2 linked regions of the Oreochromis niloticus genome follow. The protein of the gene in region 1 interacts with the protein of each later gene in a pairwise test. Links are inferred from orthologs where the notes say so. Each region holds a gene or a part of one and is shown in the gene's direction. Other genes may lie near its edges.

What was found. The genes of interacting proteins can lie anywhere in the genome.
Region 2: the proteins of fbf1 (region 1) and cinp interact in binary tests that used the Homo sapiens proteins (3 or more experiments, as listed by UniProt). The two-hybrid records come from large-scale screens. The link is inferred for Oreochromis niloticus from reciprocal best matches to the Homo sapiens genes FBF1 and CINP.

What each region holds. Positions count from the first base shown.
Region 1 is NC_031969.2:13,397,733-13,404,846, reverse strand, and holds the start of fbf1 (fas-binding factor 1 homolog), read left to right. Parts: upstream 1-4,108; 5' UTR 4,109-4,274; exon of another isoform or gene 4,275-4,367; intron 4,368-4,390; exon of another isoform or gene 4,391-4,666; intron 4,667-4,782; 5' UTR 4,783-4,828; coding exon 4,829-4,831; intron 4,832-4,985; coding exon 4,986-5,016; intron 5,017-6,015; coding exon 6,016-6,060; intron 6,061-6,155; coding exon 6,156-6,201; intron 6,202-6,310; coding exon 6,311-6,353; intron 6,354-6,449; coding exon 6,450-6,500; intron 6,501-6,582; coding exon 6,583-6,724; intron 6,725-6,853; coding exon 6,854-6,934; intron 6,935-7,066; coding exon 7,067-7,114. UniProt on the Homo sapiens protein: Keratin-binding protein required for epithelial cell polarization. Involved in apical junction complex (AJC) assembly via its interaction with PARD3. Required for ciliogenesis.
Region 2 is NC_031983.2:30,840,488-30,848,327, reverse strand, and holds the start of cinp (cyclin-dependent kinase 2-interacting protein), read left to right. Parts: upstream 1-4,737; 5' UTR 4,738-4,874; coding exon 4,875-4,881; intron 4,882-5,647; coding exon 5,648-5,810; intron 5,811-5,886; coding exon 5,887-6,016; intron 6,017-6,741; coding exon 6,742-6,871; intron 6,872-7,840. Other genes in the region: uncharacterized protein LOC102079865, read right to left, coding at 1-84, 3,348-3,539, 3,704-4,352. UniProt on the Homo sapiens protein: Component of the DNA replication complex, which interacts with two kinases, CDK2 and CDC7, thereby providing a functional and physical link between CDK2 and CDC7 during firing of the origins of replication.

The sequences.
Region 1 (7,114 bases):
TTTTTTCAGTGGCCTCTTGATGTCAAGACTTGTTCCACCGATGCTACAGGACAGACTTCATGTAATCTTCTTTGTATTCTCTCAGTGATCTGGTTCTAATTCATCTGCATTTGGCAGCTCACAGTAAGGCTCCCACCGGGAGTGAAAAAAAAGAAAGAAATAGAGGGCTACAAAAACAATGAGGCTTGTTTTGATCATGCCTTCCCCCTGTCTGTCCAGCAGATGTTCGTTTTACTGAAGAGGAAACAGCAAATGAGTGAACATGGGTATGTTTCAGTTTGGAAGAAGAAACTGGACAAAGGCTGAATTTGCAACATCGCTAATAATGCTGTCTGCTTTAGAGTCAAAATGTATCTTTAGCTTGTGAATTTGATCAGATTTTCAGGGTTTAAAGTAACAAATATGTGCCTCCATACAATAAAATGCCACAATGTTCTTCTCTGATTGTCTGATGTTTTACTTTTACATATAAAATTATTTTCCATAAGGAAAAACAATAGAACAAAACATTTTCATACCCTCCAACAGTAAATAAACATACATACTACATTTTAAATCTTACAAAATTTATGTTTCATTCATACATGGTGCAAGTAGCTTCTAGATGGGAGAAGTGAATCCAAGGCCAAATCACCTTAATGATGCATTCTTTCTAGTGGCCAGCAGGGGGCGACTGCATTAGTCGCAAAAAGACTTCTGGTTATGTTACTGTGACCACTTGCAGTCAGCTGCCAACTTTAAACTAACTTTGGTGTTTCAGGATGGTGATCAAACAGGAATAAGACGGCAATAAGACAGTTTGTCACTGAACGGGGTCAAGTTAGCAGTTACATTCAATCTGTTTGTGATTAACTGTGATAAATCTGTGCAATTACATACACAGAAATTCAATTTAACGATTAACATTCAGAGTTCAGCAAAAATTTCTTCAATTTGAAACTGAAAATGTACAAATTCCACAACAAACTGGGAGATAGTTACTCCAGGACTGGCAATTTAACTGCAAAATAACATAGATGCTCAATATATTTGTTTTTATATGAGCATATAATCAGCTACATCCAACCAGCTAATAACCAGTTGAGTCCCGTATTGCAAAGACACATGTGACAGATGAGTTGTACTCATTGGAACAGACTGCCACAGATTGATTGCAAGGTGTTTGCTATCTTTCTACATTTCTAAATTAGATGGCAATCATTTGCAAACTTTTATCAATTTGTCATTACAGTCTGTGTGGTTTGGAACATCATTGCTTGGAGACAGGTCGCATCTCACCAGGCAACCTCCCGATCAAAAGTAGTCACTCAGAGGTTGAAGGTGTTGCATGCTCGAACTACGTGCAATCAGTTGCTAAAGAATTCAATGTAGTTATTGGGCAACCCTTGATTTTCCCTTGTCCCAAGAAGGTTGGTATCCTATTTTTACTCTACTATTACAGAACCGTTATATTAGAAGTCCTCAGCTCTCTCACATTTAAACATTTTTCTGATATGGGTTCAGTTAGAAGTTTGAAGTCATACTGAACAAAACATGAAGTTCACTGTGTTGACATTATTATTAATGCTACAACTTGTAACTGACATCGTTAGCTGAAGGGCGTACACTGTCCTCGGTTTTATTGTCACTCCCACCCCTCCTTCATCAACTGCTAAACTTTAGGCTTCATATGGAGGTCACTAACCAGTATGACCACACACATCTTTCATACTGTAAATAGTCTCATCTCACACTATGGTTAACCATAGATTACATAAAAGATGGACGCCTATTTGGAGGCCTGAAAACAGCTAACACCACTCAGGGCTAGCTAGCTTGGTGAGCAAAGTCCATTGGCATGCTAATTTTGGCTATTGGAAAAATAGGTCTAAAACAAAATGTTTTAACCAGAAAAACTGAACAACAAACTCCATTACATATATTTTAGTGCAGCTGAATGCTGATCAAGACCAACCATCCATGCTCCCATGTTTTGCATAACTTTAGGCCTTAGCAGAATTTTAATGGGAACATTAGAGCAAAATTCACATGTCATGATTACAGAACTTAGCTACAGTGGCCCAAATGGTTTTTGCAAAAGGGTGTAAACATATTTATATCGGTGGTAAAACTGAGTATTTTAACATGGCGTATCTGCAGATTGACTCACTTTTGGAGTATTTTAATTAAACATAATTTTTACTTTATTAGTAGTCAGTTCTTGTGTTTTTTTCTCCAGGAGAAGACTGCAAATGTTACCACTTTCATGGGTAAATCATAGCATGACACATACATTTTTTTCCTGCTTCTTTTCCATATGGTTTGTGTTAAGTTGTTGTGCACAAAGAGATCCTTTGGCAGGATGCATCTCAGCATTTCACAAGAGGCCTCATTTCTTCTGAAGTATTGAGCTTATGTCATATGTTGCACTGTATGTGGCATGTAAACATTAAAGCTTTATGCTGCTCTCCCAGAGGAACCCCAGCAACTAAATAAAGCATTAAAAGGCATTTATGCTCTGCTGTGTGCCACTGAACAACAGGGAGGCTTCTCTGTCATATGCACTAATAATAACTGTTCCATACTTTGGTGATTTATTAAAATGGTTTTCATATCATAGAAGTATTTATTTTCCACTCTAACACAGAAGGTCAAAGTGCTTTTTTTTTGCCTCCTACCAACATTTAAAATGTCAGCTGACATTACAGTAAACAAAGCACTCCTGTAAAGTACACTGATCACATGACGTGCACAGCAGATCATTTGGAAAATAAATAAAATCTGATTTGCACACCCAGAGTATTTTATCAAAGGCAAATTGCCACAGATTATCATTTGTGTGCATTTATCCGACAGTCTCGACAAAACTGCAGAGGGGAAATGAGGCCTGTCCACATTTGCCAGCAGAGGAAGGAAACGTCTCTGTTAACAGCTCCTGTCTGACTCACCAATTCAGGAAAAAGGAAATAATATCGAGCATGTACAGACCTCATGTGCTGAAACTGTTTTGATACTACAATGAATAGGACACAAAATCAGCTTGAGTTGTATGTAACTCTGTAACATGATGAATGACGGCTTTGAGGAATGTGCTTACTGGAAAACGACTGTCCTCCTGCACATTCAAACTCAGTCCACACAAATCATCACAGAAAATAAACTTTACAGTTCAAATTAAACATTAGATCAATATTGGAAAATTCCATTAAGATATAAAGCTCACATTCAGCCATCGTCTTTTATTTATCCATTTCAGAGCTCATGGGAGGGTAGGGGCGGGGTACACTGTGGACAGGTTGTCAGTGTGTTGCAGACCCAACACATAGAGCACAGGTGTCGAACTCCAGGCCTAGAGGGTTGGTGTCCTGCAGGTTTTAGATGTGTCCGTCATCCAACACAGCTGATTTAAATGGGTAAATAACCTCCTCAACATGTCTCGAAGTTCTCCAGAGGCCTGGTAATGAACTAATCATTTGATGCAGGTGTGTTGACCCAGGGTGTTATCTAAAAACCTGGACACCGGCCCTTGAGGCCTGGAGTTCGACAACCCTGACATAGAGACTGATGATCACATTAGAGTCACCAATTAATTTAATCCACACATATGTCTTTGGGATGTGTGGGGTACCCAGAGAATATCCCCGCAGACACAAGAAGAGCATGTAACCTCCCCACTGTGGCTGCAGTCTGAATTCGAACCCAGCGCTAACCACTGCATCTCTGTTCCACCCTACATGAAAATTAGTGTTTATGTATGAGCACATATGCATGTATAGCTTCAGCACTGTGGGACAAACTTCCGTTTGCCATCAGAACTGCTCAAAAAGCTCTTTTAAAAATCTACTTGTAAACTTTTAAAGATGATTACTCTTTTTTTCAATTTTTTTATGACTTTTATAAAACTTGAAGTTTAGGTTAAAGGTACTCTTCTAGTCAATTTGCCAGCTGTCTCTGACAACAGAAAAGGCTTTAGAATTTTAATAGTATTAGTATTAGTCCTAATAGTTGCTGTAGTAGTAGCAGTAGTAGTAAACTGACTTTAAAATATTACTTAGCTGTGATTTGCCTGGAGTCATTTTCTAAGCTTTGATGCCACCTGCTGGTAAACCACTTTGGCAGACCTCACTAAGCAGGCCCAAGCACTTTGGCTTAAAATACCAGCTCACGTTCAAAACGACGAACTTCAGTGTTTTTAGACACAGCCCAAATCAAAAGCCTCTTTTTAAACAGCTTTCCCCGAAGGGTTACTTGAAACTACTCTACCCATAATGCACTTCAAACAGTAAACAGGAAACGTATGTTTTGCCGGTCGGTACGATTGTGGCACCCGCTACTCCAGCACTGAGTGGCCCAAACGCCGAAGCTCGTGGTTTACTGCTTATTTTTTTGTATGTAGCTACATTTAATGCTAATCACAAGCCTAGCGCTGGAGCACTAGTTAGCTTTTGTTTGCACTGTGGCTAAGGTGCAACCTTCTGTGAAAATGTGTTGTGTGGGGGCGGTGTGATTTTTTTTCTTTACCGTTAGTCTGCTGGCCAACTTTAAGATGCTAAACACAACGAGCTGTATCAATACGTGACTATTTAAACCACAGTAATTAAGACGAAAGGTTCCAGTCGTGCTATGTTCTTGACAAATGCTAGCTAGAGTAGCTGAGCGGTTGCCAATGGAGACAGGAGGCGCTTATGTGTGTTCATTTTATGCTGCTCTTAAACCCAGAGCTGCTAACAGTGACGATGAAATGATAAATAAATAAAAAATGACAGTAAAAATTTATTCTTCTCTTTTCCTTTGCACTGTTAGCTCAATGGCTACTCTTACACTGTAAACCCACCAGCACAGATTGAACATGGTAAGTCAAACTGTGCTCTCACTCGACATTTCTTTTTATTTATTCATTGACGATATAACGGAGTTTCATTATCACTGAGGATCATTTCATTATCATTCACTTTTTTCATGATTATCTGCTAACTTAATAAACTTATTTTCACTGCTATTTTCAGGCTACAAAGCCGAAGGGGAAAGCCTCGAAAAGTAAGTTAATCTTGTGCTATTTGAATCCTACAAACTTTCCATTTTTTTAAATTTTATTTTTTATAAACTTTCAGGAGTATCAAACATAAGGCCTGGGGCCCAGAATCAGTTCGACAAAGACTTCTAAAGGGTCTTGTACCAAGTAGTGATTTCCGATGTTTCTGTGTATTTGTTTCAATGTGTAATGTCTTTGCTTATATTGATATATAGACTGTAGCTAACATGATTTATTAAGGGGTTTTGTATATAAAATAAATAAAAACACAGTGTCTTTATATAACTATTATTTTGTATTTGTTGCAATTTCTGCTCCCTTCTTGGAGAGATCACTCTTTAAAAAGACACTTTTAATGTCAGTGAGACTTAGCTGGATAAATAAAGGCTTATATATAAGTTAGTTTGCCCAAAACTGATTGCAGCTTCTACCTTGTGACAGGAATGTTGTTTGTGGCTCCAAACGGCTCGATAGCAATCATGAAAGATATGTTTGACAGATTATATGCCAAGAAGTCATTTACAAGAGTTTAAAAACGATGAATTGCTTTTGGTACAACACTGACCTGCTGGGTGGCTTTGAACAGTCTAAAGCACGGCATAAAATTAGACTTTTAACTGATTTACAGCTTGATAAGGAGCTCTCCCATGGCCATTCATACTACACCAAAGTAATTAAGTAATATATAAACTATAAAGCAGAAAATTTAAACTTTTGTACAGTGACAGTTAGGGGAGTTTCACTGGTCTGGTCCACTTTATATTAAAGTATGTTGTATCTGGCACACAATTACATCCTTCTCCCTCATGATTGTACCTCAGCAAAACATTGACTATAAAATGATAAATGCCTATTTCTGCATTAAAATATAACCCAGTGTGTCTCCGTCCTCCTGATCCAATGAGGATGTCATACCACCACAAATACAGATATAGGCAGCAGCAGTAGTATGCCTCGCTTGCACCATGCTGAAGTTGACTGTATACCTCTGTTGCTTTTCTAAGGTTCATTCAGGGATGATTTGCTTGACAGCTTGCTTGATGATGACAGTAAGTGAGCGCAGTTGTGCAGTTTTATCAGAATTAGCGTCTATCTTTATGTTAAAGTGTGTCGTAATATTTTCTTGCAATAATTTGCTAACTAGAGCAGCCAGTAAGGACGAAAGCATCACGTGATGGACCTATGTATAGGTAAGTTAGAAGGAAGATTTGTGAATTGCAAAGTGCCAGCTGTAAATTATTACTCCTCTTCATGTTCTGTTTTCGTTTCCTGCTCGTCTGCTACTGATTATATCTTCAGCACGCTAGCACAGGAGATAAAAATGGATGGTGCGGACACTGAGGTATGTAGGATAATATGCAAACGGGGTCATATTCACACAGTTTTTTTGTCCTTTTGTGTTTATTTTGTCTCTTTATATTTTCTTCTTTTGTCCAAGGACTCGGATGTGTCAGTGGCTGATCCCAGCGACATACTCAAGAGCATGAAGGTGGGTCATTAAGTGAGGTTGCGGCGGCAGAGATAAAGTTCACACTGTGCACGTTTCACTTTTCCTCTCTGTCCTCGTGCAGGACATGGACGACATGGACGCTGACCTCTTTGCATCAAAGAAGAAGCCTAGTTCGGCTCCCGCGCAAACAAAGCCACTTGTTAGCGAAGGACCAAAGAAAGACTCTGCTGTGCTCGAGAGCAATGCAAAACCAGAGGGAGCAGGTAATTCAGTGCAGAGTGTTCTCGCATAAATTACTTTCTCATTATTAGCTCCACATTATTACCAGCTTTGAAGTTTTACATTAATAGCAGCGATCAGAAAAAGGCTTTTGTCTGCCTCGCTTCCCTCAGATGAACCCACCAAAGGGGGGAAGAAGCCGAACTCTGTACCTTTATCCTCAGCGCGGAGTTATAAGAAGTTCACCTTCTCTGGTAAGCGAGTCTCCCCGCTCCCTCTCATGGCATCCGCTTCCTCGACTGAGCTTTGTATAAATGAACAAGGTGCAGATGTGTTGTTGACTTGCAGCTTTGCTTTGTTTCTCTCAAAATGTTGCTTTAACTCAGACAGTGGTGGTGAGGACGAAGGTGTTGCTCAGACTCCTTACGCTGAAG
Region 2 (7,840 bases), on another chromosome or scaffold:
CGTCGGGCTGCAGGTCCACGCACAGCGTCAGGCTGAGCAGCGAGATGGGCAGGAAGTCAGCGTACGCTGACAGGGGGTGGCCTCCTGTAGAGATTGACAGATCACGTGACTTTCGCGCATTGCATTGTGGGTACGAGTGTCAACAAAATCAAAACACTGCATCAAGCGCTAGTATTTCCAGCACCGGTAATCATTAATTCTGCGGTTTTAATCCCTACTTGCATTTTATTTGCCCCCAAAACAGTTATGTACAAAACGACGGAGAACACGGCAGGTTCGTACGAAGACAGACTTGACGAAAAGGCAAAAAAAAGGACGACGAAAAAATCAAAGGAGTGAAAGGGTCAGACCCATACGAGCGTACAGGGTGGAGTAAGGACGTCAGCGTGCTGCCCAACTTTCATCACGCACATATTTATTATTATATGGTTCTAAGTGTGAGTGCATACACTCACAAGATGTTTATTACTATTACTATGGAAGACATCCTGCATCGTCCCGGTCCCCAAAAGGAACCGGCCCAATGAGCTAAATGACTTCCGACCGGTGGCACTGACGTCACATCTTATGAAGACTCTAGAGCGGCTCTTCCTCAAACTCCTCCGACGACAGGTACAACATGCCCAGGACCCACTACAGTTCGCATACAAGGCGGGTGTCGGAGTGGAGGATGCTGTCCTGTACCATCTACATAGAGCCCACTCACACCTGGACAAGGGAAAAGGCACGGTCAGGATCCTGTTTCTTGACTTTTCCAGTGCCTTTAATACCATCCGGCCCTGTCTGCTCCAGGAGAAACTAAACAGGATGCAGGTGGACCCCTGCCTGGTTGCTTGGATCTCCGACTACCTCACTGACAGACCACAGTACGTCAGGCTGAAGGACATCATGTCTGACACTGTGGTCAGCAGCACAGGAGCACCACAGGGAACTGTGCTGTCCCCTCTTCTCTTCACCCTGTACACCTCTGACTTCTGCTACAACTTTGAATTATGCCATATTCAGAAATTTGTAGACGACACAGACATTATGGGGTGTATCTGGGATAATCAGGAAGAGGAGTACAGAAGTCTGGTGAGGAACTTCGTCACATGGAGTCACACTAACCACCTGCAACTCAACACCTCAAAGACCAAGGAACTGGTTGTGGACTTCGGGAGGTCCAGAGCAGGTCCACTGGCGGTTCAGATAGAGGGGGAGGAGGTGGAGGTGGTCAACAAGTACAAGTACCTCGGGCTGTGGGTGGACAACAAACTGGACTGGTCATGGAACACAGAGCACCTGTATAAAAAAGCCCAAAGCCGACTGTATTTCCTCAGGAGGCTGAGGTCTTTTAACATCTGCAGGAAGCTCCTGAGGATGTTTTACCAGTCGGTGGTTGCTGGAGTACTTTTCTATGCTGTGGTGTGCTGGGGGAGCAGCACAGCAAAGAAGGACTCATCCAGGCTGGAAAAACTGATCAGGAAGGCTGGCTCTGTGGTCGGCATGAAGCTGGACACTCTGGTGTCAGTGGCAGAGAAGAGGACATTAAAGAAATTGCTGAACATTATGGACAATGCTGGGCATCCTCTGCACACGGCCATAAACAACCAGAGGAGTCTGCTCAGTGACAGGTTGCTTCTCCCAAAGACAAGAACCAACAGACTTAAAAACTCCTTTGTCCCACACGCCATCAAACTGTTTAACTCCTCTCTGGAGGGGAGAGGGAGGGGAAACAGGAGGACAAAGGAAGGGGGGGACAACTAAGCTGTAGTGCCTTTTCACTGTGCAATAGTTTTTGTTAATAACCAACGGTGCAATAGACTTCAATACTTGAAATGTGCAATTCCCTTGTATTCTTATTCCTATTTATTCTATTTATCCCTTTTGTATACTCTTTATTTATACATGTCTCTTTATTTATATATGTGTATGCTATTCTGCTCACATTCTCTAAGTTCTGTCGGTGCTGGGCTATTTGGAAACTGAATTTCCCAGAGGAACCCACCCGAGGGATTAATACATTTTTATCTTATCTTATTAACTTCAGATCCCTGCAACAAGCCCAGGTCCAGTTTACTTTGGTGATTTGGACTATTCCATTTCACAGCTGTTGTTAAATTCTTTTCCTTTATCTCCTGTACAGGCAAACGCATCTATTTGTGGTTTCAGGTTGTGGTATTACACAACATTTTCCGATCTAATAGAAATAAAATGAGTGTTTCGTAATTCATTCAATTTATTGTCTTTATTTATAACTGGCATTATTGTTTGATTCTATTATAGAATCTTACAAGAAAGAGGCAAAATTGTAAAAATCCATCATTCTTTATTAGCTGCTTCGGTGAAAAACAAATCAAAAATGCAAAAAAACAAAACAAAAAAACAACACTGCAAAACAACATACTGGAAAACAGTTATTCATCACTTGATTGCTTCAAAAAGATCTTTTGTTAAAAGGGTTGGCGTAATAAGCAAATGCTTCAGCCAATACCTTTTGATTAGCCTTGTCTCATGCTTTCTTGCTTTGTGGTAATCTTTATTCTATATTCACTGAGATATTTAAATGCTAATCAATAAAAACAAAAAACAAACAAAAAACAAAACAATACAACCCCCTTGGGCACATATATGCGGGACGTTTCGTGGCTGTTTTGATATCGCTCTCTCTCTTAACGGATCAAATCTGGCTGTGGTAGCAGCTTTAACCTCGGTATGACCCAGGGTGATAGAGGTGCCTGGTCTGGATGCATTCCAGCATTTTGTAGGCTGGTTTTCCTACAAAACACAACAAACATTAGCCCGCAAAGCCACAGTGAACAAAGCAGCATAACGCAACGAATTCAATTCAAATCAATATAAGACTTATTTGTAACCTACATCAACAATTATGTTATGATAAATTACGTAATAACTACAACAGAAGACGTACCTTTGTGGAAATGCTTGGAGCAGACTAACATGTGAGCTGGAGTGTTCTGGGACGTTATATTTGGTCTTTGAATGGCTGCAATCCAGGCCATCCGTCGGCTCTTTGTTACTTCAGAAACACGGCTTTAACAATTTCTCTTCCACGACGTAATACGATAACAACCGATCTCTTTACCCGTTGGCTTCCCGTGGCTGTCATGCGACCGGCTATTGCAGTTAATAATACAACAGCTTCTTGCCATTCTTTGTGTTTCTTTTTATCACCGTGTGACTGTTTTCTTGTGAAACCCTGTGCGCGCTAGTACCACTTGCCACTCGTATCCACAATCCTTTGCAGTTTTACCCCAGAATGACATCACATTTTCAATCTCTATTGAACTTGCAGACATCAGAGAGATGCTCAGATAGACAAATACAAAGGGGGGAAACACACTCACCGTGGATGCTGAGGTTGGTTAGGTGTGGCAGTGACGTCAGCCACGTCTGCAGGTGACAGGTGGGTCCAGGTACGGAGTACAGGTGGAACACTGACAGGGTACGGAGGCGGGACAAAGGCTGCAGTGTTTCCTGTGTCACCACGGCGTCATAATTCAGCAGCTGCAAGTCCAGCAGCTGTAGTGCAACATCACCTGCAGGACGATACGTGACATGTGATCTCACCTCTGTTCCATCTCAGAGGTGAGGCAGGTTCAGCAGGAAGGCAGAACACACCAGTGCCTACCCTTCCCTTCCTTCAAGATCAATAATCTAACTATTAAATATCTCAGCAAGTGACTGATCCAGGTGTGCCTACCTGTGTGGTGGGCGGGGCTGAAGAAGTCATGTGGGAGCGTCCTGTAGGTGATCATGGTCCAGGACAGGTGTGTGAGCTCGGTCAGGTGAGCGAGGACGCCGCTGAGGGACGGGACCCTTAGGCTGCCGTCATGGTGCAGCAGTAGTGAGGTCAGACGCGTCAGCTGACCAATGGCGGCCAACAGGTGAGAGGCAGAACAGGTGAGCTGCACATTACAGAGGCCGAGCTGTGTCAGCTGCTGACTCAGAGGAAACAGGAAGTCCAGGTTCCTCAGCGGTGTAGAACCGGATGTGACGGACAGTCGCTGAAGCTGGCGGAATAGTCTGAGATCATCCATGCCCCCTTCTCTCCAGTCGTCCAGTCGCAGGCCGCAGAGCGCCGGCAGCCAGGTGTACAGCTGCTTCAGGTGCTTCCTCTTACCTGAGCGCAGCAGCACGTTGCCCACGTGCCTCTGAGCCAGGCTACGCCAGAACGAGGGGTTGTAGCGCGAGAGGTTCTGCAGCACCACGCTGAAGCCCCTCCACAGGGGGCGGGACTTATCCAGCAGGTGTCTGAAGTATGAGCAGGTGCAGCGCATGCTCAGTTTGTCCCTCCAGGACAGGAAGCTGAACACCTTCAGCCACAACTCGGCCGGAAGCTGCAGCGCCATCTCTCACCTCCGATTATCGATCAGGGAGCTACCTGAGCAGCGGCCCTGACGTCATCACAGCCACAACACCGCGTTTCTGATTAGCTGATATCGATCCTTGATCGTGTCTGTGGTCAACTCCGACAGTTCTTCTCACTCTAACTGCGCCTGCGTGATATTATCGATTATCGCCAGCTTTTAAAAGATCTCCACAGAAAAAGAGAGTCAGTAAAAGTACGGCAGTCCCAGTCTTAGCGCAGGCGCAGTGACACTTACTTACAACATCCGGTTCCAGTGCTGACGTCACTGCCAGTAAGTTTCAGACGCTATTGCGCATGTCAGAGAATTGAAAGGGCGGCATCGTCAGTCACGTGTAAGAGCAGAAAACCAGTTTAAGGTCAGAACAGAGCTTCTCGCGCACAGGTGAGTTCACCTGAGAGCCGAGACCGGAAACCAGACACCCGCGGTCAAAGAAGACGACTGGAAGAAAAACCACCGAAGAAGAAGCTGAGCGGGCGGAGCTGGTCGGAGCTGATCGATCAGATGGAAGGTGGGTGATTGATAATCGATCCACACGTGACTAACCAGCTGATCGATGGCACGCGCAGCAAAAATTATCAGCTGACTGGCGTAAGCCTTTCCGTTATTAATCAGCGGTCATGCGGGCGCGCGCTCAGGGTCAGAGCTCAGAGACTAGAACGACAACAAAGAGTGACGTCATATGTATACACCTGAGGTCCATGTAGGATTTCACCTTTGGCTGGAGTCACGTGGACCATGAAGGTGGGCAGCTTGGTATCGATTATTGATCAGCAGGAAACATTATAGCTTCATACCGGCATAGCATGGTGAAATACCCCCTGACCCGGCTAAAGCCAGGTAAACCCTGAGTTACCTGGATAAGGTGACCTCTGCTGCAGAGCTCGAGTGGACGAGGTCAGGATCAGTAAAGCCAGACAAGGCAAGAAATCCTGGATATGTTGAACCTGCTTCATGGTGGGTTAGGGTTGGTTACGGTTGACCTTTGACGGCTGAATGATGATGTATTTGTTTGTTTTGATTTTGCTTTACTTCATTTTATGTCTATTTTTGACATTTGTATGTTTTTTAAATGATTTTTTTGACAAAAAGTTTAGAAATGTTGTTGTCACGTTCTGAGCTGTGACATCACAGGAAGTGACAGAGGCTGCTTTGAGGCGGCGAGCTGCACGTTGAGGACCGTGGTTTACACAAGTTTTATTGATTGTCTTGTCGTGTCGCCTGCACACTCTGTCACTAAAACACTCAACAACAAAATCACGTGACTCTGTTCTCAGGTGACATCTCAGTCACGTCAGCAAACAGGAAGTCTGCTGCGATCACAGGAAGTGCGAGAAAGATTAAAGACAACGCTGCCGACTGGCACAACATGATGCTGCGGTGGGACAGGTTGAATGAGGACGGCTTCATGGCGGCAGCAAGCATCGTCAACATGAGGCGGTCAGTTTACTGATGATCTCAGGAATGCCAGGTGTTGATGGATCATGTGATTGATCAATCTGAAATCTGTTTTCAGTGCTCAGAGCGATCAGCTGCTGCTCAACAATTCTTCATCGCCTCCACCCTCTTCCTCACCACAGCACGTGGGCGGAGCTTCTGAGCTGCAGGACAAATGTCTCAAACTGCAGGAAATCGTAGACAAAATGGTGAAGCTTCAAAAAACATTATTTACACTTAGGTTCAGAGACAAAAACAAAACACTGGTTCAGAATCCAATCAATAATCAATAATCACACACACACACACACACACACACAGCAGCCCCATCAGTGATCAATAATTTGAGTGCAGAGAGTAAAAGCTCACACAGACCTTTCAAAAGAAAATGAGAAAACAGCTTTTATTGACCACTGAACAAAAGCTGATCAGTATTGATCTTGACTGAGCATGTGACACAGATTAAGGCTCCTCCTCCTTGGGCTGATGTGCACAACTGCTTTATGAAGTTAAACTGAATCTCAGTTTGTTGATTTTAAAGTGATGCCATCATCAGGTTCACTATTTCCCAGCTTTCTCTGAGTGAGCTGGATCAGTTAAACCTGAACTCCCAGACAGAGCTAATCAAGCAAGATAATAATCAATAACAGGAATCAGGAAGGAGGTTATCAGTGTTCTGCTGGAGCCTCTGAGCATGCAAACATTTTACACGTGTCATGTGACCGATGAAGGCGCTGAAATAGATCCGTGCTATGCTCTGATAGGCTGATCAGATTTGTTTCTGTTCATGAGGACGCAGCGTTTTCAGTGGGAGAAACGTTTCGTCACTCTTCCAAGTGACAGAATCAACTTTTTGGGATTACCTGGATCATCGAGCATGCGTCAAGCATGCGTCAAGACCTCTTGTGTGACATCATTTCTTGTTTCCCGTCAGGCTGCTGTGGTGACGAAGATGGATCGTCTGATGACATCACAGCGTGGAGTAGAGGATCTGGAGGCGTTTCAGTTTGGAGCCGAAGGAAGAAAAACTCCTCTGTTTCACAGCTGGAGCACCAGAGAGTTCGGTGAGCAGCGTGGCTGATGGAAACCGTGTAGCAGCTTGGACTCTGGTCAGATGAAGCTTAATCTTAATTTTACATCTCACTTTAAATCCAATGATTCAGCCACAGTTTACTGATGGAGCTGTGAGATTAGTTGCCCATAGCAACAGCCTCCAGGCAGATCCGCCCTCTACTCAGATTTTATTCAATTGTTTCTGGTGCGGTTTCTGCCCGTTCCATCAGTAGCAATAACAAATTCCATTAATTCTGCCATTATAGGATAAAAATGCTTGAGGACTTAAATTGTGTCAACAGTTATAATCTGATCTCATATCAACTTCACGATCAACGATGGCTGCCCGACAGTCACTGTTTGAGTAAAACACCAAAGTTTCCGAGCCGACGACTTTGATGATAAAAGACAAACGTGGCTCAGCTTTCACTCAGCTGCCCACATGCTGAGCAGAGAGGGTTGAAGTCAGGGATGCAGAAGCTGTAAACGATCCAAATAGAGTAACACGGGATGAGCTGGAACCGGATCCGGTCTGAATCTGTGATCTGAATCCATTTTAGATCCGTCCTGCCGTGGAAGAGGACTCTGTTCCGGGGCCTGCGATTCTTTGAAGCAGATCCAAACATGTCGAGGCTCAGACTCGGAACCTTTAAAATGTGGTTAGATGACATTCAAGGACTGAAATGTAATCCGATTACAATCAGACTGTCTGCAGCAGCTTTGAAACGTCACAGTCTCAGTTTAAGAGTCTAAAAGTCATCTGAGCTCATCTTCACTCAGATATTCTCCAGCGGTGACTATGAGAAATGATTGATCGGTGATCAGAGTGTAACACAGTAAACGTTTGCAATGCAGGAAACTGACAGCATCACTGTCCACAGAGATGAAGGAGATGAAGACTACAGATGATGATAGATCTGTGATGTCATCACTGTCTCTGTCCTGATACATTGATTACCGATTGACTGTCAGAGCTTCGT